Nothobranchius furzeri: one gene and its partners. The main gene of each other region encodes a partner of the protein of the gene in region 3 in a complex. Links are inferred from orthologs where the notes say so. Each region holds a gene or a part of one and is shown on either strand. Other genes may lie near its edges.

The links.
Region 1: arid2 (region 3) and smarcc2 share a complex: the UniProt entries of both Homo sapiens proteins name them as parts of the SWI/SNF-B (PBAF) chromatin remodeling complex. The link is inferred for Nothobranchius furzeri from reciprocal best matches to the Homo sapiens genes ARID2 and SMARCC2.
Region 2: arid2 (region 3) and smarcd2 share a complex: the UniProt entries of both Homo sapiens proteins name them as parts of the SWI/SNF-B (PBAF) chromatin remodeling complex. The link is inferred for Nothobranchius furzeri from reciprocal best matches to the Homo sapiens genes ARID2 and SMARCD2.
Region 4: arid2 (region 3) and smarcc1a share a complex: the UniProt entries of both Homo sapiens proteins name them as parts of the SWI/SNF-B (PBAF) chromatin remodeling complex. The link is inferred for Nothobranchius furzeri from reciprocal best matches to the Homo sapiens genes ARID2 and SMARCC1.
Region 5: arid2 (region 3) and smarcd1 share a complex: the UniProt entries of both Homo sapiens proteins name them as parts of the SWI/SNF-B (PBAF) chromatin remodeling complex. The link is inferred for Nothobranchius furzeri from reciprocal best matches to the Homo sapiens genes ARID2 and SMARCD1.
Region 6: arid2 (region 3) and pbrm1l share a complex: the UniProt entries of both Homo sapiens proteins name them as parts of the SWI/SNF-B (PBAF) chromatin remodeling complex. The link is inferred for Nothobranchius furzeri from reciprocal best matches to the Homo sapiens genes ARID2 and PBRM1.

Annotation. Positions count from the first base shown.
Region 1 is NC_091743.1:50,353,316-50,356,179, reverse strand, and holds the end of smarcc2 (SWI/SNF complex subunit SMARCC2), read right to left. Parts: intron 2,779-2,864; coding exon 2,617-2,778; intron 2,531-2,616; coding exon 2,469-2,530; intron 2,387-2,468; coding exon 2,266-2,386; intron 2,196-2,265; coding exon 2,032-2,195; intron 1,947-2,031; coding exon 1,812-1,946; intron 1,702-1,811; coding exon 1,320-1,701; intron 653-1,319; coding exon 588-652; 3' UTR 501-587; downstream 1-500. UniProt on the Homo sapiens protein: Involved in transcriptional activation and repression of select genes by chromatin remodeling (alteration of DNA-nucleosome topology).
Region 2 is NC_091756.1:35,532,469-35,535,968, reverse strand, and holds the end of smarcd2 (SWI/SNF-related matrix-associated actin-dependent regulator of chromatin subfamily D member 2), read right to left. Parts: intron 3,045-3,500; coding exon 2,947-3,044; intron 2,740-2,946; coding exon 2,604-2,739; intron 2,523-2,603; coding exon 2,400-2,522; intron 1,527-2,399; coding exon 1,425-1,526; intron 1,341-1,424; coding exon 1,287-1,340; 3' UTR 284-1,286; downstream 1-283. UniProt on the Homo sapiens protein: Involved in transcriptional activation and repression of select genes by chromatin remodeling (alteration of DNA-nucleosome topology).
Region 3 is NC_091741.1:59,776,360-59,780,358, forward strand, and holds the start of arid2 (AT-rich interactive domain-containing protein 2), read right to left. Parts: upstream 2,801-3,999; 5' UTR 2,582-2,800; coding exon 2,490-2,581; intron 2,367-2,489; coding exon 2,273-2,366; intron 1,383-2,272; coding exon 1,285-1,382; intron 1-1,284. UniProt on the Homo sapiens protein: Involved in transcriptional activation and repression of select genes by chromatin remodeling (alteration of DNA-nucleosome topology). Required for the stability of the SWI/SNF chromatin remodeling complex SWI/SNF-B (PBAF).
Region 4 is NC_091745.1:65,024,658-65,027,961, reverse strand, and holds the end of smarcc1a (SWI/SNF complex subunit SMARCC1), read right to left. Parts: coding exon 3,256-3,304; intron 3,111-3,255; coding exon 2,935-3,110; intron 2,813-2,934; coding exon 2,678-2,812; intron 1,669-2,677; coding exon 1,284-1,668; intron 1,057-1,283; coding exon 931-1,056; intron 817-930; coding exon 725-816; 3' UTR 501-724; downstream 1-500. UniProt on the Homo sapiens protein: Involved in transcriptional activation and repression of select genes by chromatin remodeling (alteration of DNA-nucleosome topology).
Region 5 is NC_091743.1:58,867,579-58,871,618, forward strand, and holds the start of smarcd1 (SWI/SNF-related matrix-associated actin-dependent regulator of chromatin subfamily D member 1), read right to left. Parts: upstream 2,801-4,040; 5' UTR 2,758-2,800; coding exon 2,572-2,757; intron 1-2,571. UniProt on the Homo sapiens protein: Involved in transcriptional activation and repression of select genes by chromatin remodeling (alteration of DNA-nucleosome topology).
Region 6 is NC_091743.1:66,073,032-66,077,158, forward strand, and holds the start of pbrm1l (polybromo 1, like), read right to left. Parts: upstream 2,801-4,127; 5' UTR 2,676-2,800; intron 2,383-2,675; 5' UTR 2,352-2,382; coding exon 2,211-2,351; intron 2,089-2,210; coding exon 1,991-2,088; intron 974-1,990; coding exon 826-973; intron 131-825; coding exon 1-130. UniProt on the Homo sapiens protein: Involved in transcriptional activation and repression of select genes by chromatin remodeling (alteration of DNA-nucleosome topology). Required for the stability of the SWI/SNF chromatin remodeling complex SWI/SNF-B (PBAF).

The DNA of each region.
Region 1 (2,864 bases), on a different chromosome or scaffold from region 3:
AAATCCAATTTGATGGATGCTTCAAGTTTTTTAGCGAGACCTTGGGAAACATTTCAAAAGTGCTTTTCTTTCTTCCTAACATACGTGTATGTTTTAATACGTGCATGTATGTTTTAATACATACATGTATGTTTTTATACGTACCTAAAACACAAAGATGTGAAGCTGGAGACTTCACGAGCCATGAAAGAGTGTAACAGGAAAACAAAAGCAACAACGTTCAAAACACAAGATGACTCTTTTGTCTTTCTTGGGTGCTGGCATGTTGATAATCCATGCTGACCAGATCTCCTGGGGTGAGTTTATGATTCTGACTTGACAGTTGATGTCCAGTCAACCACGAGGGATGAAAAATCTATTTTCCTCAAGAGTCGACTTAGTTTGAACAGTCAGGAGAGGGAGTTGACTCGTGTATCTTATTTTTCTGTCACACATTAAATTTCCTGTTGGAAAAAAAATACTGAACATGAAAACTGTTTTTTTTTTTTTTTTATGTCCGGGAGCTGAATACTTCATTTCAGATGATACAGGCAGGATTTGGAATGGTCAGTCATTTGGATTTTCAGGTTTTTTCTTAAAAAGTATTCTCACTGTGGAGGAGGAGCAGGAGCTGAGGGGTGGAGAGTTTCTCCTTGGAGAGGGGTGCTGGGCTCTGTGGATAAAGCAGGAGAAAATGTCTGAAGAAGTACTCTCAAGTACCAGGCAGTAGTTAATCCTTAGCGCTATAATACGTATAACGAAATGTATCGGGACTCCCGGTAACACGAGAACTTCTAGATTTAAAACTACTTTTCCTGCCTGAAAATTATTGACACGTGCAATAAAGGGTAAAATCAATCATCGCCATGTCTGTTTACTCCAAAGATCTTGTAAGATTTCCTGTCTGACTGGAGAATGTTTGTGTGTGAAATCAGACCGTGTCTAGTGTTTAGTTTTTGCTGTGTTGCCGGACACCAAACAGATACTTGATTAAAATCCTGCTTTCTGCTGGGAAAAACCTGTCACAAAAACAGTTTGGGGTGAATGCTCCTGACCAGAGACAGTGGGAGGAGGATAATAAAGGGAATTAAACACGTGCAGAACTTGCAGGTTAAAAATTTTTGTGGCAGCTTGGGAGAAATGGGAATGGTGGGTGGCACATGATTGAGTGGATTATGAGGGAATGCCCTTTTGTTTAGTAATTTGCCTGCAGAACCTGTTTTTGCTGAGCGGTGTTTGTTGTTCTTGATTTAGTTCTGTGTTATTTTCCTGTTCAAATTGTTCACCATTGTTTTCTGACATAAATGCTAATTAAATACCTGCTGTATGTTTAAACTCACCATGGAGTACAGGTGTAGTGCTGGAGCTGGAGTGAGGGGCTGGAGCTGGGACGGGAGCTGAGGCCTGGCTCGGGGGGCAGGGCGATGGGGTATGAGTCCCTGCAGGAGGTTGGGCTTCAGGAGCCGGGGCAGAAGAGCTTGGTGGTGCAGGGCTAGGAGCCGCCTGTGATGCTGGTGTGCTGGGAGCTTGTTGCCCTGCAGTCGGAGCTTGGAGCTGAGGGCCTGAGGAGGCCTGGTTGGAATGAGGACCGCCGGTCTGACTGTGCTGCTGGTGCTGAATCTGCTGGAAGTGCTGCTGGCGAGCTCTCATCTCAGCGTATTTCAGCTGCTCCATGTGAAAGGACTGCCGGTCGGCCAGCAGCTGCTGCCGCTGGTACTCAAGCTGGAAGCAAAACAAACACGTCTCAGATGAATTAGTGCTACTGCACATCCGTTGTTCTGGGAATAAAACAGGTCATTTATGTCCAATAATTCCCAAATTCCATCACTTACAGCCTCCCTCTCTCTGTCCATGATGGTTTCCAGTTCTTCAAAGTGTCGCAGTTTAATCTCAAGCTTCTTCATTTGTGTCTCCACCAGCAGAGCCACCAGAGATTTGATCTTTCTCTCCTCCACTGCAGCCAGATGCTGTTTACACAGAGAAGGAGAATTGGATTAAAGAAACCCAACAAACAAACGGTGACTGACAGAGCAGCGGTAAAATGAACTTCACCTTGGCTTTGACAGCAGCAGCAGCTAAAGCAGAGGCGGCAGCAGTTGCCAGGTTTCCCTCTCCCACATCACGCTCAACCTTCGCCTTCCTTTCTCCTTCTATCTCTCCCTCTCTCTGCCCCTCCTCTGTTCCCTCTTTTGCATCCTTCTCCTTTTCTCCATCACCTGAGAGAAGAAAACATGGTTTTATTATATTTTTCCTGACACGTCTGTCTATGGCCAGGTCCTCTCATACCCATCTCAGACTCGGCTTTGTCCGCCTCCCTCTCTCCTTCGGCTTCTCTTCCCCTTTCTTCTTCCTTCTTTCCATTTTCCACCTGTTTCTCTTCTTCCTCTACTGCTGTATCTTTACTCACCTTAATAAATAAAAAAAACAGTTAACAACTAATAAATAAGAGACACAGCTTTCATTTAGTTTGTTTTGAACAAGCATCCTACCTTAGCATCTCTCTTCTCCTCACTTGATTGGCTGTCACTCTTACTTTCATCGCTGCTTTCATCTGAAGAGAAGACAAGTCAGAAATGTAAATTCTTCCTGTATCGTTGAAGCGCTCTTTCCCTAGTTGTGTCCATCTGTCCATCCTACCGGGTCTTTCTCCCTCCTCCAGGCCGGTGCCTGCGATGCCACTACCCTCCAGCCCATACAGAGGATCTTGTCGGCCGCTGACTCGCGCCGCTTCTTCCACCCGCCGCACGTGAGCCTCCACAAGCGCCGCGGGGACCTCCTCCTTCATACGAGAAAACTCCTCTGAGAGAAGGAGCAACAGCTTGAGGTTATTGAAGCAAAACATCCAGCCCTTGGTTAGTTAGTGGTCTCATAAACAAATGACCCAG
Region 2 (3,500 bases), on a different chromosome or scaffold from region 3:
TTAGGAAGTACACATTATAGAACAATTAAAAATACTATTTTTGATTTTCTGCCACACAAGCCAATACCACGTCTGAAGCATTAAACAAGAGTCACCAGACAAGCTGAGACACGGCTTCCTAAAGACAGTTGGTTGTATCAGTCCCGGGCTTTATTTGAGGAGCGTTGTTTGAGTAAAACCAGACATTCCTGTTGGAACTGCTGCCCTCGTGAAGCATCTGAGCGCAGCGACCAGCCTCAACATGCACAGCTCCCTGATCCAAGCACACACCTCAATAGCTCAGTGCAATATAACGTATATGTAATGTAGGTTTCTGTTTCAGATATAGAAAATAACCAACATTTGCAAGTATATTTATTGTGAAAAACACCTCAAATGTAAAAAAAGATTTTTAAAAAAGCTTTTGAATCAAAAACATGCAAAACACGGAAGCTGTACAAAAGTACTTGTACTACACACTTCTCAAATTCAATTAATCAACTTCACAAAACACATTTTGGCACAAATACACGGAATGTTTCATAAGACTGCTTGTAAAAAAGCTTTTTCCCCATACACACACCATTTTTTTATCTGACACCACAGCTGCATTCCTGTTTATAATCAATAGCAAACCTCTACAAAGGCTGTGAAAATTCATTTTTGTGGTCCTCAAACAAAAAAGTAAATAAAAAAAACATGTAAACCTTCAACATATAAACAAGAGCTGCTAAAGATCAGAGGAACAAAGAAGGCTGTATAAAAACAGCTTCTCATAAATCACCACAGGCATGACGTATTTCCTGATTTGATGTTTTTATGTATTAAAAATATGACCTGAAAGTGTTTTAAGGGTTTATCTTAAAACTTACATAAAATATAGATTCAAACACTCTTCAAGGACATTTCAATAGGCATGTAGTACAACTACATATATATGGGATAAACTGATTAAGGATATTTTTTAGACATCAGGCACTGTCAACATTTAAATGTTACAACTTTTAGAAAATCACACAAAACATCAGCGTGGGAAAGCAGAATCCTTTACAGGACCAGTGTTCAAACAGTTTTCAGCATTTTGTACCGCGAGTAAAAAAAAAAAAGAATAAAAAAGACAAAAAAGTAAAAATGATTTGAAAAGGCTCCAAATGAAAAACCATCCAAGGCAAACACGTTACAAAAGGACACATAAATCATCACTTTGGTCCCATTAGTAAATAAGTATGGCTTAAGCTGCGATCATGGCTGTCTCTATTCCAGTTAAACAAAAGCAAACGCAGGCAAACTCCTCTGGAATCTGGCCTTTAGGTCAGTCGGATCCCCAAAACTTGCTCCAGCTCCTGCCTTCTCTGCTGCACCTGAAACGGAGAAGGAGTACCTCTGGTTCAGATACAGATGACTAAAATGTGCTGTTCTGAGCTCTGGGATCTGTCTTCACTTACTTTGGAGTAAACGTATCTGCCCACTGCTTCTGGGACCCAGGGCGCCTCGTAGAACTCGGTCCTCCTCTCCTCCTCTGGGTTTCCGCTCACGTCTGTCATCAGCTGATTCAACAGAAATGCAACAGTGAACACAACAACACCAACAAGATGCCCCAAACATGCCTTTCATTTTCTTATCTACAACTGCATCTTGCTGAGATGTTGCTTAAGGCTCAGGAGGTTTGTAAAGCTACAGGAACACAGAACAAAGCTGTGGCTTCTGAACGAACCATGAACCATGTCAGGTGAGGGAGGACAGCTTTGACTTCTTAAACAAATTTAAAAAAAACAAGGTGGGGTGAAATCTGTGTTGACAGGAACCCAGACATGTAGATCCTTCTGATCTGATCATTTCTAACTGCTGGCTGGAACATTTATCTTTAGACGTGTTTCGGCTCGCTTTAGGAGATCAACCCTCCACCACCTGCAGCAGAATGCTTCCTGATTAGCTCTCTGAGCACATGCCGGCAACAAGGTGCATCCGTTTACTGGCTAAATATGTTAGAATGAGTTCTGTGCTATTGTGTCACATTATATAATGTAAACAAACGTAAGAATGCTGTAATCCCCATAATGAATATCACCTTAAGCAACATTTAATGATGAGTAAACACTGCAGATTCCAGTGGGACAGATTTGAACTCTTATGGCGAAGGAGTAAAAAAACAAACCCAATAAAACCTGACTTCCAGGTTAAGGAGAATGTTCAGAAAACTAAAATATTTTTGCCGTCTAAGCCGTAAAGGAAATCTAAACGAGTCAAGATCTAAACACTTGATTTAATCAGATAAAAAAAAACATAGGAACTTCATTTTACCCTGTCTCTGCTATTTAACTCAACTTCATTTCATTTTATTTAGTTTGTCCTGAAATGAGGGACTAAAATAAGACAAAAGAGTCACGATAACATGGTAGTTGCAGCAGACATTTCTTTACCTTCAGATCTCTGCTCTGAGACTTCAGCCAGTCTTTGATGAACTCTTGTGGATTATTGCTGAAGCTCAGCATGAAGTCTCTCTCAGTCTTGAGCTGGTTGATGTACTCAATTGTTTCATGAATCTGAACATAAACAACAAAGGAAGACGTTTCAGGTTTCTACAGGCTCGTTTCATTTTAGTATGAATCCAGATTAGACCCGACCTTCATCTCAAGAGTAGCGATTTCCTGTTGGTTGGTGGTGGAGGACAGAAAACTGTTCATCTGAGCTTTCAGAGGGTCGTCCACCTCCACGTCAATATCATAGCAGGCTGTTTTCTTCTGGTCTGTGGGATCCACGCTGCTCAGGGAACAAAGGAGTTGGTGGTGACTACAGGACGGGTTTATACCTTATCTCAGCTCAGAACCAAATAGAAAGTGTTTCTAAGGTTCTACGTACATCTGTGTTTATTAACTGTAGGAGCAGCTATGAACCTTATTCACCAAGTGTGGTGACACTGTGTGTCTGAAAGCAGAGATTGTCTGAAGCTGTAAGATGAGACCCTACCTGATGATGTGGTTGATAATAATAGGGTCAGGATGCTGCAGCAGGCCCGCCAGCTTCATGGGGATCTCACTGAACCTCATGCGTGGACAGCTGAAGATCTGAACACAATTTTATTAAACCGCATTAGCACTTAAGACAGGTGATGTTAAAAAACACTGATAACTAATCCATCAGAGTTCATATCCAGCCCTCTAAAGCTAAGACCAGGACTACATGAGTCCTGTTTCCATTTTAGGAGTTTAGGGGACGGGGAGAGCAGCTGTGTGAAGTAAAAAGTGCCGTTCAATGACCAGAAGAAGCTGTTTTTGACAAAGCAGTGTGGATAATGGCGTTGTGGGGGATTTCCACTGCATTATATGCGTTGAACCTTCAGAAACTGCAATTTCAAAGCAGCATTAATGCTGTTTGCTTTCTTTCACTTCCACTCATCTTCACCAACAACTCTTCCCATTTTTGAAAAGGCCAGTTATTTGGCGAATACAACCAATCAGCGTGAGTTAAAAACAAGCCCGCTCAGCGGCTCTACCAGCCGAGTACCTACCCCAGCTCAGGTA
Region 3 (3,999 bases):
TACTTTACTGAAATGATGTTAAGAAGTAACCAGGGCAGACTCAATGATTGATATCTGATAAATGCTGCAACATAAACACCCAACAGGGCCTGAAAAGTGCTATAAATAAAGCTACCTACTGATACAAGAACAGTATTACCTATTTGTGGTGTTTGTGTAATTTTATTGACAAAACAATGACTTTCATGTAAAATTAAGATCCGTTCAAATATGAACTTCACTCAGGGTCTTGTCATTTCTGGTTAAAAATACAAGCAGATTTCAGACTAGCTGCAGGTTGCAGGAGCTATAGATTATAAACTTAATACCTAATATTTCTGGATTCCCATCAGCAGTGTAGCCAGTTTGTTTTTTGAAATACTTCAAACCAGTCCTCCCCTTCTGACCCAGTGGTTTCTAAAGTTAGGGCCAGGACCTCAATGTGGGTCTTTTTGATCTCCACAACCCACAAAATTACTATAATGGATATTTTGCCACAACTGTTCTATAAAAAGTTGTCATAAATTGGCCAGAGATAGTAAAATAGTGGACAGTTTGTGTTGTCCTTATGTCACTGTAGAGTTTACACTTTTTTTTAACCGTTGGTGGCTGTGGTGACGAGTCTCAGCTGCTGTAATTTTGTGTCAGAAGCTGAAAAGTTTACGAAACTCTGCTCTATAGATCCATCAGAGCTGTCTGAACTTCCGATGAGCTCCAAGTCTCATCAGCTGCCTTACAGTTAGTCATAAAATTAGCTTCATCCTGTCACCGCTCACTGACAATATATAAAGAAACAATGCTGGCCTCTTCTATCACCACTTGTCTCTAAATGTCTACAAGCATTTCTCTGCTGCACAGGTGCAACCTCTGCAGGGCAGGTGCTAGTGATGGGAACACTACAGTGATGGAAAAAACACTACAAACCACAAATGCCAGCTGTTGGAAAGGGGGGGGGGGGGGTAAAACAGACTCTGCTCAATGCAGCTGACTGACTTCGAAGTGTGCATGTGATACAAGTAAGAGCATCCAGAACCATTCAACATGGCATCAACAAGAGCCCCCGGGCTAAAAGTGTCAAAACGCCCTAAAACCAATGTTTTCAAAAGCTTTGTTTAAAAAGACAACTCAGCCCGAGTGTTTGCTTCTCTGGTGGATTAAGTAGTACTCAAACCTCCTCTGCAATATTCCACAAGTGCAGCTTCCAAGCAGAGGGAAGCAGCGAGGCTGCATCCAGCTGACTGCATCTTAGCATTTGTAAACACTTCCCACATGCTACCTGAGAGGAGAGAGTTGCATGCAACTTACCGCAGGTAGTACTGTTTTAAAGCGAATGCTGCGTTGGAACAACTCCTGGGAAAGTTAAACTCCTCTCCAAGTTCAGCCCACTGGTTTTTATCAGAGACCTGAGGAGAGGATGATAAAAGGGTCTGCTGGTTAGCAAACACCGGTAACAACAACACAAAGAACGGTTACAGTGAAGGCAGCTAGCTGCTCCCTCTGCTACAGGTTCTCCATTGAGACAGTGTCACAACCTCTTATCAATAACTTTCTCAAACTGCAGGAAATGACCCAAAATAGATAAAGCCAGCATAACCTTTAGAAGTTATGTTTAAAATAGTCTCTATATTGTTATGTAATAGCGGGTATTTGTTATTAGCATTTAAAATAACTATTTAGAACGGTTTTGTTACAGTTTAGGCTAGTTAGCTACACAGCTAACAAGCTAACTTGATTACTTGCTAATTGAGCGTTTAAACCGCGCGAGGCAAACTACAACAAACTGCCGGGGCAGAAAGCGCTCGCGGCGAGCCGTTGGGTTGTGGAGTCAGTGTATGTACCCGTTTACTGTGTTCGTTACATGGGCCTGTGAGGCCTACATTCTGTGGCCAGCCATGAAGCCGAAGAAAGATGGCTATGGCGAGAAATTAAGCTTCCCTCCGGGTTAAAACTGCTGGCGAAAGCCCGGGCAGCGCGCCGCGTTCAACGCGGTGCTCCCCGAAGCCGGGCTCCGTGCCGATAATCGATGGTAAACGTGCCCGCTAATTTTGAGTCGCTCCAACTGCACTCTGACTCCGAGCGCTTTGGACTCTTCAATTCATACCACACAACAACACAAGCCACCACATTGCATAGAGATACATGGTAAACTAGCACAAGGCCAACGCCGAGCCACTGGAACGGCTTTCTGGAGGGTGAGACTTGTCCCGGGTTAACCGCTCAGAGTTGTGGAGTAGTCCGGTGAGAAGTCCACGGACGGCAAAGTGGAGAAATGACACTTTTGGTTCCCACTCACCTTAGCAAATCCACCTAAAGAGACGACTCTGATGTAGAGTGCATTCAGATCCAGCTCTTTCCCACCCACGATAGGAATCTTTTTGAACGGCGATCTGTTGAAATAACACATGAAATAAAGCCACACATGTTTAAATTACACTTTTGGGAACTCGCGCCTTCATTGCAATTTGTAGTTAAAGTTGTATTTCTTGGAAATAAAGGCACCCCAATCTCACCCTCTGCTTTGGTGAAATTGCCGCAGCTCGTCCAGGAAAGCCTGTCCTTTCCTTCGCTGATCTAGTAGATTTTTCCCCGTCGAATTTGCCATTGTTTTTGCATGCAAAAACGGTAAAATCCCACTTCAGTTGCTTCCTAAGACACCAAGGATCCCATACTCCGCCGGCGCGCAGTCATTCGCCAAGCTGAGTGTTTAAAAAGTTAAAGAAATAGCTGATAGCAAAGAGAGCGGCAGCTCGCTAATAAAGACTGATGCACACAGAAAGCAAACCCGATACAAGCACGGACTAAGTTCCAACGAGCGGTCACAAATACGACCGATTTACCGGTGGATTAGAAACGCCATGGCTGAAGGTGTTGAATTAATGCTTTTGGTCGCGGCTGTGTTCGTTTGGAGTGGTTTGACAGTGTGGTACGGACGCAGCTCCGAGGCTATCGCACACACTGTAGAGCGGCAGAGGGATCCAGTTCTCAGACAAAAAGATGTGAAGGCCGCGGAGCCCGGCCTGCCATGCGTGCAGCGCCCTCCGTGTCCACCGGCGGTACTGCACCCTCCAAGGTAGAGCGACTGCTGGAACAATAGACAGTTTTCTGTTTTAGGGATCGTCTGACAATTCATGCCCGCTGCCTAGAAAACGGGTCAAAGGGTTCTTGGAAATGTCCCGTGGGGGGAGGGGAAAAACAAATTAACCCAGCTTCGTAATATTCCAATTAAGCGCATAATAGTAGCTACCTAATTGTTTTAAATATAAAAGTGCGTGTCAAACATCGGTGTCAAATTATTATTTCAGCAGTATCAGTAGGATAGTGATGCACGTGTCATAATGGTGCTCAATATTTTTTATAGATTTTTTTTATTTTAATATATACTTAAAAACGAATGAAAGAAACTTACTTTGCGAACTTTTGACTGCAAAAGATGAGTTGCATATTAATTATTGTGTTGTATGAAGTCATATATTATGTGCCTAACATATTTTATCCTGTATAACTTGTTTGAACTTTAATATTTTTGTTAAGTGGCAAAGCTTAAAACATCTACACACACTGATTATGTAATAACATGCTTGTAAGTTACACATTAATTGTACTGCTTTTGTAATTACATAAACTGACCATACTATTTTGTGTTATACGTAAATATGATTATTTTTTAATTTATATTCGTACAATCTGTTGCTGCATGGGTAAGCGGATGTGGGAAGCAGCTGGTGTCCCTAGCTGTGGCCGCGTCTACAGGACTTTTATCTGAAATTCCCCCTGGTCCCTTTCTGCTGTAACTGCCGAGCGGATATCTTCTTGATGGGGTTACATTCAACCATTACACGTACCCCTTTGCTCAATGAAAAACCTGTCACAAAATGGCGGAGACGTACGTTAGCAGACCCCATTTTGAGGAATTGACACTAGACAGCGGAACAAGTTCATGTCCTTGCTTGTGGTTTTAAAAACAGCGCTATTTTTGCTGTCAAACTGCGGTACGCCGGAGTTCAGCTCGCGCCTGTTTGG
Region 4 (3,304 bases), on a different chromosome or scaffold from region 3:
TGACCTACTGGGGACCTTTTTGGCCTTTTTGTTGAATTTCTCAAGATCAATAGGATCAACGAAATTGAAATGTATTGATAAATAAATAGGCACACGCTGCCATCGACCCTCCCTCTGTCTAACACACACATTCACATACACACACACACACACACAGATCTACAGTGTATCATTTAAAGAAGAGCGAGAGGTAGATTCTCCATCAGAACAAGGGCAGGCTGGGAGTTTCGGCTCAGCACACAGAACCCTGAGGGTCTGTCCGGGCCTCTGGTCCCTCTAGCTCCCCCTAGTGTTTGATTTGGAGGAAAGGGAGGACCAGATTTTAAGGGGTTATCTTTTTTTGGTATACAAGAAAAGGCTACAGTGTCATTTACACAACAAAAAAAAAAAACAAACAAAAAAACAGCATTGTTACTGTAAAGAATGAGAAACAATATTTTCTGATGATTTCTGTCTCCTTGTTTGGTTTTCTGGCTACAGCCTCCCGTTTGCCCAACAGAGCAGAAACAGTGTTTATTACTAGATGAACCTCGCCGCTGCGCCCTGAGAGGAAGTCTGCATGTGTGTTTGTGATGTCTGGGTCACTTTTGCTGATAAACCCTGAGTGTGAGTGTGTGTGTGTGACGGAGGGTGACGTTTATGGCAGCTTTAATGGGCAAATGCTGAGTCGTCAAAAGGGGGGCAGAAATTCAGAGATGTGTGCTTTTGTGCGTCTGTGTGGGTCTTAGTTATCAGTGATTCGTCCACTTGGCTGTGCTGCGGGACCCACTGGAGCTGGAGGCAGCACCTCGGGCTGTGCAGGAGGAGGACCGGGGTCTGCAGGGACAGAGAGGCCAAATTTAGATGAAGGAAGACCAAAAGTGGTGGTTTGTGTTCAAAGGTTCAGAACTTTGGTGTGTGTGTGTGTGTGTGGGGGGGCTCTGTACTCACACATGCCGTTGGGGGCTCCAGAGTGACGCGGGGGCATCATGGGAGGCATCCCACCTGGAGGTGGGCCGGCGGAGGGGGGTCCAGGCATCATACGTCCAGGCATCTGCTGACCTGGTTCTACTGGTCCTGCAGTTTTGATTAAGAGACAAAGATCATGAAGAGACGGCTCAAATTAAGTAAAACATTTGCTTCATGTTTTAAATAAGCATTTATCAGTAGCTTTGCTTTAAGACAAATATTTACAAAGTTTTAGTCAAGATTTATTTGAACAAACAAAATTTTATTTAAAAAAAAACATGCTAATATCTCACAGCTACTTTTTTCTCCACAGACTTTATTCTGCTTAGTCTCACCCGTCTGTCCTGGGTGGTGGGGGGCCATAGGGTGGTGGCCCATTGGCGGATAGCCTGGGTGCATTGCAGCGCCTGGTGGGGGACCGCCGTGGTGCGGATGTGGACCTCCATGATGGGGAGGAGGTCCGCTGTGGTGGGGTGGGGGTCCTCCATGGTGTGAGGGAGGTCCTCCATGGTGGGGTGGGGGTACGCCGTGGTGCATACCTGGTGGAGGAGGGCCCGGGTGGGGTCCTGATCCAGGGACCTGTCCTTGTCCTTGGGCCTGAGCGGCAGCGGCAGCAGCTTGCTGCTCCATCTGCTGTCTGGCCTTCATCTCAGCGTACTTCAGCTGCTCCATGTGGAACGCCTGTCTCTCTGTGAGGAGCTGCTGCCTCTGAAGTTCCAACTGCACACACACACACACATTAATGGATGAAGAGGAGTTAAAGACCAGGAAGCAGAAACATTACAAAGACCACAACCAAATAACCCAGAGCTCAGTCAAAGCAGCATTCTTCAAGAACCAGGGGTTTAAAAAATCTGTGTGTGTGTTTGCGTGTGTGTGTGTGTGTATAATAAATTCATTCTGCTCCATTTTCACCACGCTGATGAAGCGGACACCTAAAGGCAACTGAAAGCTCAGACTTGTCCCGTGTTTCTTTGTGGATCCTTTCAGCCTGAGCGTTTACAGCAGCAGCCATGTTGGTTTCCGTCTTGCTCCGTGACAGATTCCTAAAACGTTTCTTTTCGAGCAGCTTTTGCAGCTGTGAATGGGCTGAATTAGGCTTCAGTCCAGATGCTGCCACAAGAAAACACAGTTTTACACTCTCACTAGCATCTCCAGGGACACACACACCAGCTAAATCAGGCTTTTCCCTGGCAGAGCAGCAGTTTAAACAGCATCACTAAGTAGCTGCTCAGCTGTAGATAAAACCCTTTTGGCTTCCTCATAAAGAATTCATGTTTCTTATAAAGACTTGGAGCTCATGGAAAGCAGCTCCACCACGAGGGAACATCTGCTACTGACTAAATATTTACCGGCCACTTGATCAATGAAGCAGTCGCAGGAAAGGGAAAGTTAGACGGCGGGTCACTTTTTGGCATTTCCACAGACAGAACCTAAAGGAACTAAGGTTTGGTTTTCCTAGGATCAGGATATTCTAACACTAACTAACGCTTTCCGATAATAACAGTAACGTCCCACAGATGTGGTCAAGCAGCTAAACAAAAAGGCAGAGCTGCTTCGATTCTAGTTAATCTCTCATTAGCTTGACTCATGTGGCTGATGATAATCGGATGATGTCTGGCAAAGGTGAAGCAGAAGAAGTGTTTGAGCTGCACTGCATTCATTCATGAACGTTTTAAAACTACAAACCTCTGATGATGCTACTAAAACAAACTCCGACTCAACTTACAGCTTCCTTCTCGCGGTCCATGATGGTCTCCAGCTCCTCGAAGTGCCTCAGCTTGATCTCCAGCTTCTTCATCTGGGTCTCCACCAGCAGAGCAACCAGCGACTTGATCTTTCTTTCCTCGACTGCTGCCAGGTGCTGAACAGAAGATTAACGTGAACATAAGCATCTCAGTAGCCCCTAATTTAACTCTGAACTGTTTTCAGTAGAAACTTCTCTGGAAAACAAACACGGATGAATGAAAAGTGACATCTCCTCACCTTGGCCTTGGTGGCGGCGGACGCAAGAGCAGCAGCCGCTGCCGTAGCGATGTTTCCCTCTCCGATGTCATGTTCCAGCTTTTTCCTCCTGTCCTCTCCCTCCTCCATAGCCTCACTTTCCTCCTTCTCCTTCTCCTGATCAGGAGAAGTCTTCATTGGTTCCTCTTTTTCCTTGTCTGAATAGGGAAGGAAACATTTTTAACCTGCTGTCAGAAGACAATCAAATATTTTTTTTCCTATTTTAACTGAAGTTTTAAAAGATGAATACAGAAAAACAAATCCCAGCACAAGCTGGGATTGTTTTGTAAAGATCACCATTACCTGCAGAAGCCGTTTTAGACTCCTCTCCTTCGCTCTCCTCTTCGTGCTC
Region 5 (4,040 bases), on a different chromosome or scaffold from region 3:
TACCAGATGTACAGTGAGCACATGACTCGTGAGATCTGCCCTGCGCTGAAGTCGTACAGTTTGAGCTGAAGCTGTGTTACGAGTGAAAAAGTCGCACAGTGTCCGCCCAGCTTATTATAATGTTCACTGTAATGCATCTTGATGTTCTTAACAAATAAATTAAATCAAAAATATTGGTCAATAATGCCAAATATGTAAATTTGTGTTTCAGTCATTTTTATACTGGCTTAAAAATACTTCATTAATTCTACTAAGCAGGGGTGTAGAACGCGTTTAAGAGGGCCAGCCCAGTAATGGTCTTGGACCAAAATAAAGGGGGCAGAAAGTCAAATAAAGGGGGAAAAAGAAGATGTTTTTCCAGACGCCAAGAAAAATTAAATGCCAAATCCACCCTGCAAAGTGTGTCACTGAGAGTTTAAAACAGAAATTATTCTTGTGCAAATATTGGTGTATTCACCTTTAATACTAGTTATTACACTGCAGCAGTCGCTGGACTGGTGCAGTTCAAAGTGGAGTGCATCAAATAAAACAATATTAACATAAAGGTGAGACGTGTCATAGTCCCCCCCCCCCCCCGCCAACACCACCTCCACCACAGCTGGAAAAATTCCTAGGGGAAACACTGTCCCTGATGATGTTAGCAGCTAACGAGGGGCAATTAGCTTAAAGAGGCGACTGTCCCCCTTTGTTCTCTGCCACGACGTGCTTCCTTTTAAGGCGTTCGTTCATCAGCATTATCTTCTTGTGAAAGAAGTCCTACTTTGCAGACTTTGCACTGTACATGCTTATTTTTGTAAAATGCTTTCAAACTTTGTGCTACATTGCAGGTCGCCATGTCTTGTTTTTCCGGTGATGCAATGGCTCACCCGAATGGCCGCTACTGCGCACGTGCCTCGAACAGAAAGACCGCAAGCAGCAGTGGTACTGCTGAAGCAGGTAAGATTAAAACAATGCGTAGAATAAACAACGTAGACTATTAAGTTTATTGATGACTATTTTGTTTGTTGATGTCATCATGACAAATCGACCAACCCTGGCAGGACAAGCTAACACTTTTAACCCTCCCACTGTCTTAATGGGTGACCCCACGAGGAAAGTTGACCGTTGAGCAGAATTGATTGTTTATCCCTTGAAGTCCACGTGGCAGTGGTGAGGTGGTGGTCACTAGTCGCCCATGCCACATGGACCCAAGGGATAAACCATCAACCCTGCTCAATGGTCAACTTTCCTCATGGGGTCACACCCATTAGGACAGTGGGAGGGTTAAGGTAAGGCAGACTGAAGCTTTCCCTGGAGCAAGCAGGAGGGAAGCCCCTAGCGCCGACCACCCCTAGCCCTCTGCTACTTGTCCATCAAAAGGACACGCCCCCAATCATTCATAATTTCAAGCTTTTATTACATCTAAACAGAAGAGTTACATAAATTCCCCCCCCCCCCCCATAAGCTGCACACACGTTGACTGTTAAAAAAAAGGTTGCACTACATGAAAAAAATAAATTAAAAAAGCTGCACAACACAACAAAGTGATGATGAACTGCATTGCTAATGCATTTCTTAATCAATTTTTTTCCCCAATTCGTTGTTGCAACAGTAGCTCAGGAGGTTGAGCTAGTTGATTAAATGAATGATCAAAACCTTTAACTGATACTCCAATTACATGAGTTAAACCTATCAGATAGTAGTTTCAACAGACATCTGCATATTAAAAGTTAAATTGAAACATCAGTCTGCACAAACACACAAAACATTACCTTTGTCATTTAAAGAAAAACTTTGCTCAGCTGGCTTGTGTCCTTTGGTGGAAATATTTTGACTTTCTTGATCGCGGGACTAAACTATTATTTTAGTTTTATTGTAACTATAGTACATCTGGAAAACTTTTGTTCTTTAACTCATGATTAAGTAGCACTAGTCTGATCTGAAAATCAGAATTTAGAATAAAGGTGAGGCTTGAAAGTTTAACTAGAATATTTTTAAAGTACAAAATCCATCAGTGACAAATTATTTCCAGTATATTATTAGATCAAAAGCACAAACTTCACGCATTAAAACGGAATTTGAGGCTTTATTCTTATTTAGTTTTTTCCGTCTGGAAAACTGATGGTTTCTTATCAGTGTAAACTTTTCATTCAAAAGCAGACTTTTGATTTTAAGACATCTAATAAATAGAAAATCCCAAACCTAATCGAATTGGGACTTTCAAACGTAACAAACTCACTTTTTGTGAATTTTCCTACACTACTCGAGCCCTCTCGGAGTGCTTTTATTCAAACTACAGAGCAAATTAGCAACGTTAGCATGATGAGCTAACTAGCTGCTTACTAAAACTTTAACGTTTGCGGGCGGGATGGGTTAGCAAATTCAAACACACCGATGGTAACTCAAGGGAAGTGGCTAAAATAAGTTTTGGGATAGACTGACTCTATTCAACCAGCCTGAGAGTTAGTCACAGCTTTGGTCCTCATGGAGAAACAGAAACAACGTTGGCCAGTAGCAACAAAGGAGCGATGAGGGGCTTTGTTCTAGCGAACAAGCTAACGCGTCAGCAGCAAACATGGAACGAGAACTCACCGGATACCCAGGCCCGGGCATCGGAGAGCGGTACATGTGGTTCTGCGCGGCTGACGAAGGCCCCATTCTTCCAGAGGGAGTACCGGGGCCCATACCTGGTCCTGCACCGGTTGCTGGCGGTCCAGGGCCCATTGCTCCACCGCCACCACCCGTCGGAGCAGATTGAAACCCCCCTCTGGCCGCCATCTCCTCTCTGAGTGTCGCCGCCGGTGGAAGCACGAAGCTAACGCGAGAACAAGCTCAATGGGGAGAGTTGGAGATGAAACAGCGCTATCTGCTGCTCACATCTGGTAACAAATAAATTAGCTTTTCTATTGAGATGCTGATGATAGTCTTTCAACCATCCATGAAGCCTGATAAATAAATAAATTAGAAGCGTTGTAGCCCAAAGTGGTGCAGAAAACAACTACATGCTTAATTTTGCATTTTTAAGCATACTAAAAACTTATTTTTATTGTTTTTGTATTTTAATTGGTGTGTTCAATTGATCCAAATGTTGTTTCTGGAGCTCTGAAAAAAGTGTCCACTATACAAATTTAGCATCATTTCAATTGCTTCCTGCAAGACCAAAAATTTAATAAAAACCCATTCTAACTTCGCTCACATATCTGTAACATCTATGACATCTACAAAGTCTGCAGAATATTTTTAAACCAAAACAACATATTCTGGAACTTTTACTGAAAATACCGTAAGAAAAGAGATTTTACTTTAAAGTAGAAGAAAAGCACAGATAAGAATGGTATTTTGAGTGATTTTGTCCCATTTGTCTCATAAAACTGAAATAAGCTGCATTAATTTACAAATTAATCACTTTGACATGCAACACATGAGCATCAGCAGATGCGTAACTTTTATTCAACGAGAAAATACATGCTGAAATGTGAAAAATATCAAAACATTACAGACTGCAGTAATTAGTTCTTTTTTAATTTTTATCAGAAGTTCATGAACTGCAAGTCGCACCATCTCCCTCTGTTTAGGAACATCACACAAATTATACACCACATCTCCTTTCATCACAGCAGGGGAACATAAATTAGTGAGCCAACTGCTTCCGTGTCTGAGAGGTGATCTGAATCTGCGGTGCCTCCATGAGGTTTTTCAGTTGACTCATGATCCTCTTTGAATGCTTGTTGATTGTATGCAGATGCAGAGATCCTAAGATGAGCAAAGTTTTAAATGTTTTGAGCTACGGTCCTGCAAAAATTCACAACAGTTTATGTATTTTTTCCCCCAACTTTTGATGATGTTACACTTTCTCTGTTCAGTATGGAGAATCGGCAGCACAAAACATGGGGCACCATTTGTTTGCATAATCTCTTTGTGTTGGATCAGAAACAGATTGCTGGCTGCCCGGGGGGGGGGGGGGGGGGGGGCATGTGTTTTTGGACATCTAAAAGCATCTACACTGTAATTATAATTTTCATTTTGGGCTTTATACCTTGGTGCACGAACAGGCTTATCCT
Region 6 (4,127 bases), on a different chromosome or scaffold from region 3:
CTGGATTATCCATCCCATCATCACCGTCTTCGTCTTCCTCGTCTCCCTCTCCGGGCTGCACAAACTCGTTCCTTGTTTGCAGATAAACTTCCCACAGCTTTCGTGCAGCATGATACTCCTCGCCGTCACTCTGAATCATCAAACGTGAAGAGACGTGAACATTCGAATGAATCTGGACATCAAAACTAAACACCATCATAAACCTTCATACCATCAACATTGTTTAACACAAACATGAGCAGCAGTTATTGACAGTTTTCTAAACACAACCAATGACGGATCAATGCATTTATAAGCTGCAAACACTCAACTCGCTGACCATCAACAAACTACTAATCAACATTTTCTCGCTCAACGTCAAACAATCATCTGTGCACATCTAACGCCTTCAGGCATCAGCGGTCCTTAACCCTGGTGTCCCTGCTTCAACACACCTGATTTTAATCAGCATGTGATTAACAGGCTTCTGCAGAGCCTGATGAGCTGCTTAACGTGTGATTCAACTACAGAATCAAGCAGGTTGGAGCAGGGAAACAACTAAAACATGCTGGACACCAGCCCTCCAGGATCAAGATGAAGTGACCTGGTTCTATACCCTTCGTTTTACCCAACCTGAGTATAATAAAATCACAAAGATTGTCATGTACATTTTATTTAAAATAAATCAGGCTTCGTTCAGCTCTGGGTTCCTGCTGTTCTGTTTAAAGTTTTAAAGTCTGGTAAGAATCAGAAAAACGATAAGTTATTGATTTAACTGGGAACACTGAACCTTTGTGTAGTCAGAAGGGTCAATTTAATACAAGCAAATGTTTCTTTTCTCTTTACCTTGTAGAAGGATCGAGCATTATTAAACATGAGCTGAAAATCTGCAGTAAGCTGCTGCACATCAGTGTATTCTTCTGACTTCAGCTTGGACTGGATTTTTGTCATGTCAATCGGCTGGGAGACCACATCATAATAATCAGGCTGGTTCCTGAAAAATAGAGACACCCACATTTATCAACATGGGTCGTAATATAAAACAAACACTGATTCTAAACTCAGTTTTACATTGTTTAGGATCTGTTTAACTTATTTTAATGCTATTAACAGTGTTTCTCCTCATCACTTAGGATGCCATTCTTGGACTTCAGCTCAGCATTTAACACAATCATTCAAGCTGATAATAAACTGGGGCTTCTCAACCTCGTTTTACTTTTGGACCAGGGACTTCTCACAAACCATCCCCAGGTGGTGAGACTTAAAAATCATACTCCATCCGAGCTGGTTCTGAATACCGGTGCTCCTCAGAGCTGTGTGCTCAGCCCAGACATCTTATTTCTTGTGAAACTCAAGAGAGCAGCACCCCAGCTGCTCTGGTACTTCTACACAGCCATGATTGAGATAATCCTCTCTCTTAACATAATTATGTGGTATGGGAGCTACACTGTCCAGAACATGAAGGACTTGGCCTGGACCAGCGGATCATGGGGAGCCTGCTGCCAAATCTGGACTCAATACATGCCGTCAGACTGGCAAGGAAGGCCAGTTGCATTGCTGCTGATCCACCTCACCCAGGTCATATACTGTTTGTACCACTGCCATCCAGAAAACAGTACAAGAACATCAGTACTGCAACCTCCAGGTTGAAGGAAAGCTTCTTCCCCAGAGCTGTAAAAGCCATCTGTCCATGTTCCTTCCTATCTGCTGCCACCCCCACCCACCTGCACTGCAACATTATTTTATATATGTTTATTCTGCTACTGTAACGGTCCTTATTTACATCGAACCCATCCCACTGCAATAACCGGATTACAATACTACAATGTGTACAATTTTCTGTTATTATTATTGTATAAATTGTTAGTATTTGGCTCAGTTTTTTACTTTCAACAAGGTAACAAATGGCATGACTATGTTTAAATAAACATGCTGAGTAGCAACTCTCTTCATGAATGACAAGTTTATATATAACAGTACCGTTTATTATTAGGTCCTAATATTACAATACCTCCTCTTCGGAACCCGAAGGAAAACTTCACAAAGTTGCCTCCCTTGATCGTCTTTGAAATCTTTGACAGCATTAAACAGTTCGTGGCAAACAGCAATCTAAAAAAGTAAGTGGTAAAAGATCACGATTAAAGCTTTTTTAAGGTAATAGTTGCAAATCCCACACACATTTAGATTGTTAACATTCAAAAAGAACCTCGCAAATAAAGGTGAACATTTACCGTATCAACTGGAGGGACATTAGATACCTTTCTTCTTTTTCTTCCACTTCCAGGAGTGGAAGAGGAGGTATCGTCGTGGTCTCCCCCGCTCACACTGCTGCAGGGAGAGGTGGCTCGTCTTCGTTTGGAGTTCGCTGACATCGTTGAATGGATTAACAGGCTAGCCTGCTAGCTACATAATAGAGTGAAATGAAATAAAAAGCAAAAAACAGACTTTGGATCAGGTCAATTCACTTGAGAAAAGCTGTTACAATTGACACTTCCATCCATACTAAAGCCGAAACGAGAACTGGAACTCATTAGCAGGTTCCCGTATCTAGAATGTATGAAACAAAGCATACTAGCGATGGACAGTTAGCATCTTGTTCTCCCTGACCTGCTGCATTTCTTAAAACTCGTGGAGTTCCATATAAGCGTGCATGCATGGAAAATAAAAAAACAGAAAGGTTCAGGTTGATATCTTACCGATTCGCAGCAAATTTTATTGTGATTCCCTGAGCTAAAATATGAAAAGGCTAGCTGGCTAGCTTGTGTTCTTCGAAAACTCCTACCCGGAAGCTAAGGTTGTTGCCATTTGTGACAGAAATGAGCACTCCGTGGACCTGCTGCCCCCTACAGGTTAGAAGTGGTTTTGCCCATTCACGTAATTGTTATTCTCAAACCTGCTAAAGAAAAATATAAAAAACGTATCGATAAAAACTGTTTTTACGAACAGTTCCTAAAATAATTTATGACATCTAAATGAACAAATTAGTTTTAGAGGCATTTCACTGATATGTTTTCTATTGGTTAAGCGTTGTATTTAAACTGATAAATAAATCGTACAACATACAAAATACTTTAAAAAGATGATAACCGGTCAAGTCCTCGAAATTCTCCCAGACACAAAAAGTTTTTTTTTAATGGGCCTCTTAATGCCAATGCTAATTACTACGTTTATAGCCAGTATGAATAATAATAATGATGAAGATATCACCACTTCTACTACTACTACTACTACTACTACTACTACTACTACTACTACTACTACTACTACTACTATTACTACTTCTACTACTACTACCACTACTACTTCTACTACTACCACTACTACTTCTTCTACTACTACTACTACTACTACTAATAATAATAATAATAATAACAATAATAATAATAATAATAATAATAATAATAATAATAATAATAATAATAATAATAATAATAATTATTATTATTATTATTATTATTATTATTATTATTATTTCACCAGGATAAACCACATTGCTTAGAAAAGGGACCTGGCACAAAATGTTCATGCAATTGCATGCCCTTCCATTCTAAATAAAAAAAAATTATTGTGCGCATACTTATTTCATAATCATGCTAATTTTGAATTGCATTCACTCAAACTGACCAAAAAATAAAAATAAGTAAACGTTGGGGTGAACAACTGAAAATCTTGATATTTGATTGATGTTGGGGTGAGCAAACCAAAATTGGTGCATTACCCCAAAGTCATCATATTTGGGTGACGTTGGGGTGAAAAACCCAAAACCATGATACTGATGGTTTTGGTGATGGGAGATCACTCTAAAATCATGACATACCACTATTCCCACGAGCCGATGATTTTGATGTGACATTTGTGGGAATGCATGCTCCTAAAGATATACCGTAAATCCTCTAATACAGGCCTGGGCCTGTATTTGACTCAAGCTCATCAAGCTCCAGGCCTTTATTGGAAGGAGGGCCAGTATTAGAGGCAGGCCTCTATTTCTATTTGAGCAAAATGAACTAATGGTTCGCTGGAGTTTTTGACAATTAATATCGCGCCCACATTTTCAAAGTTAAACACATTTCTTTTAACAACAGTAGTTTCTGCTTCAGCCATCTCCCCCCTCCCCCTGCGCAGCGGCCGCAAACTCACTGATGCGCCTG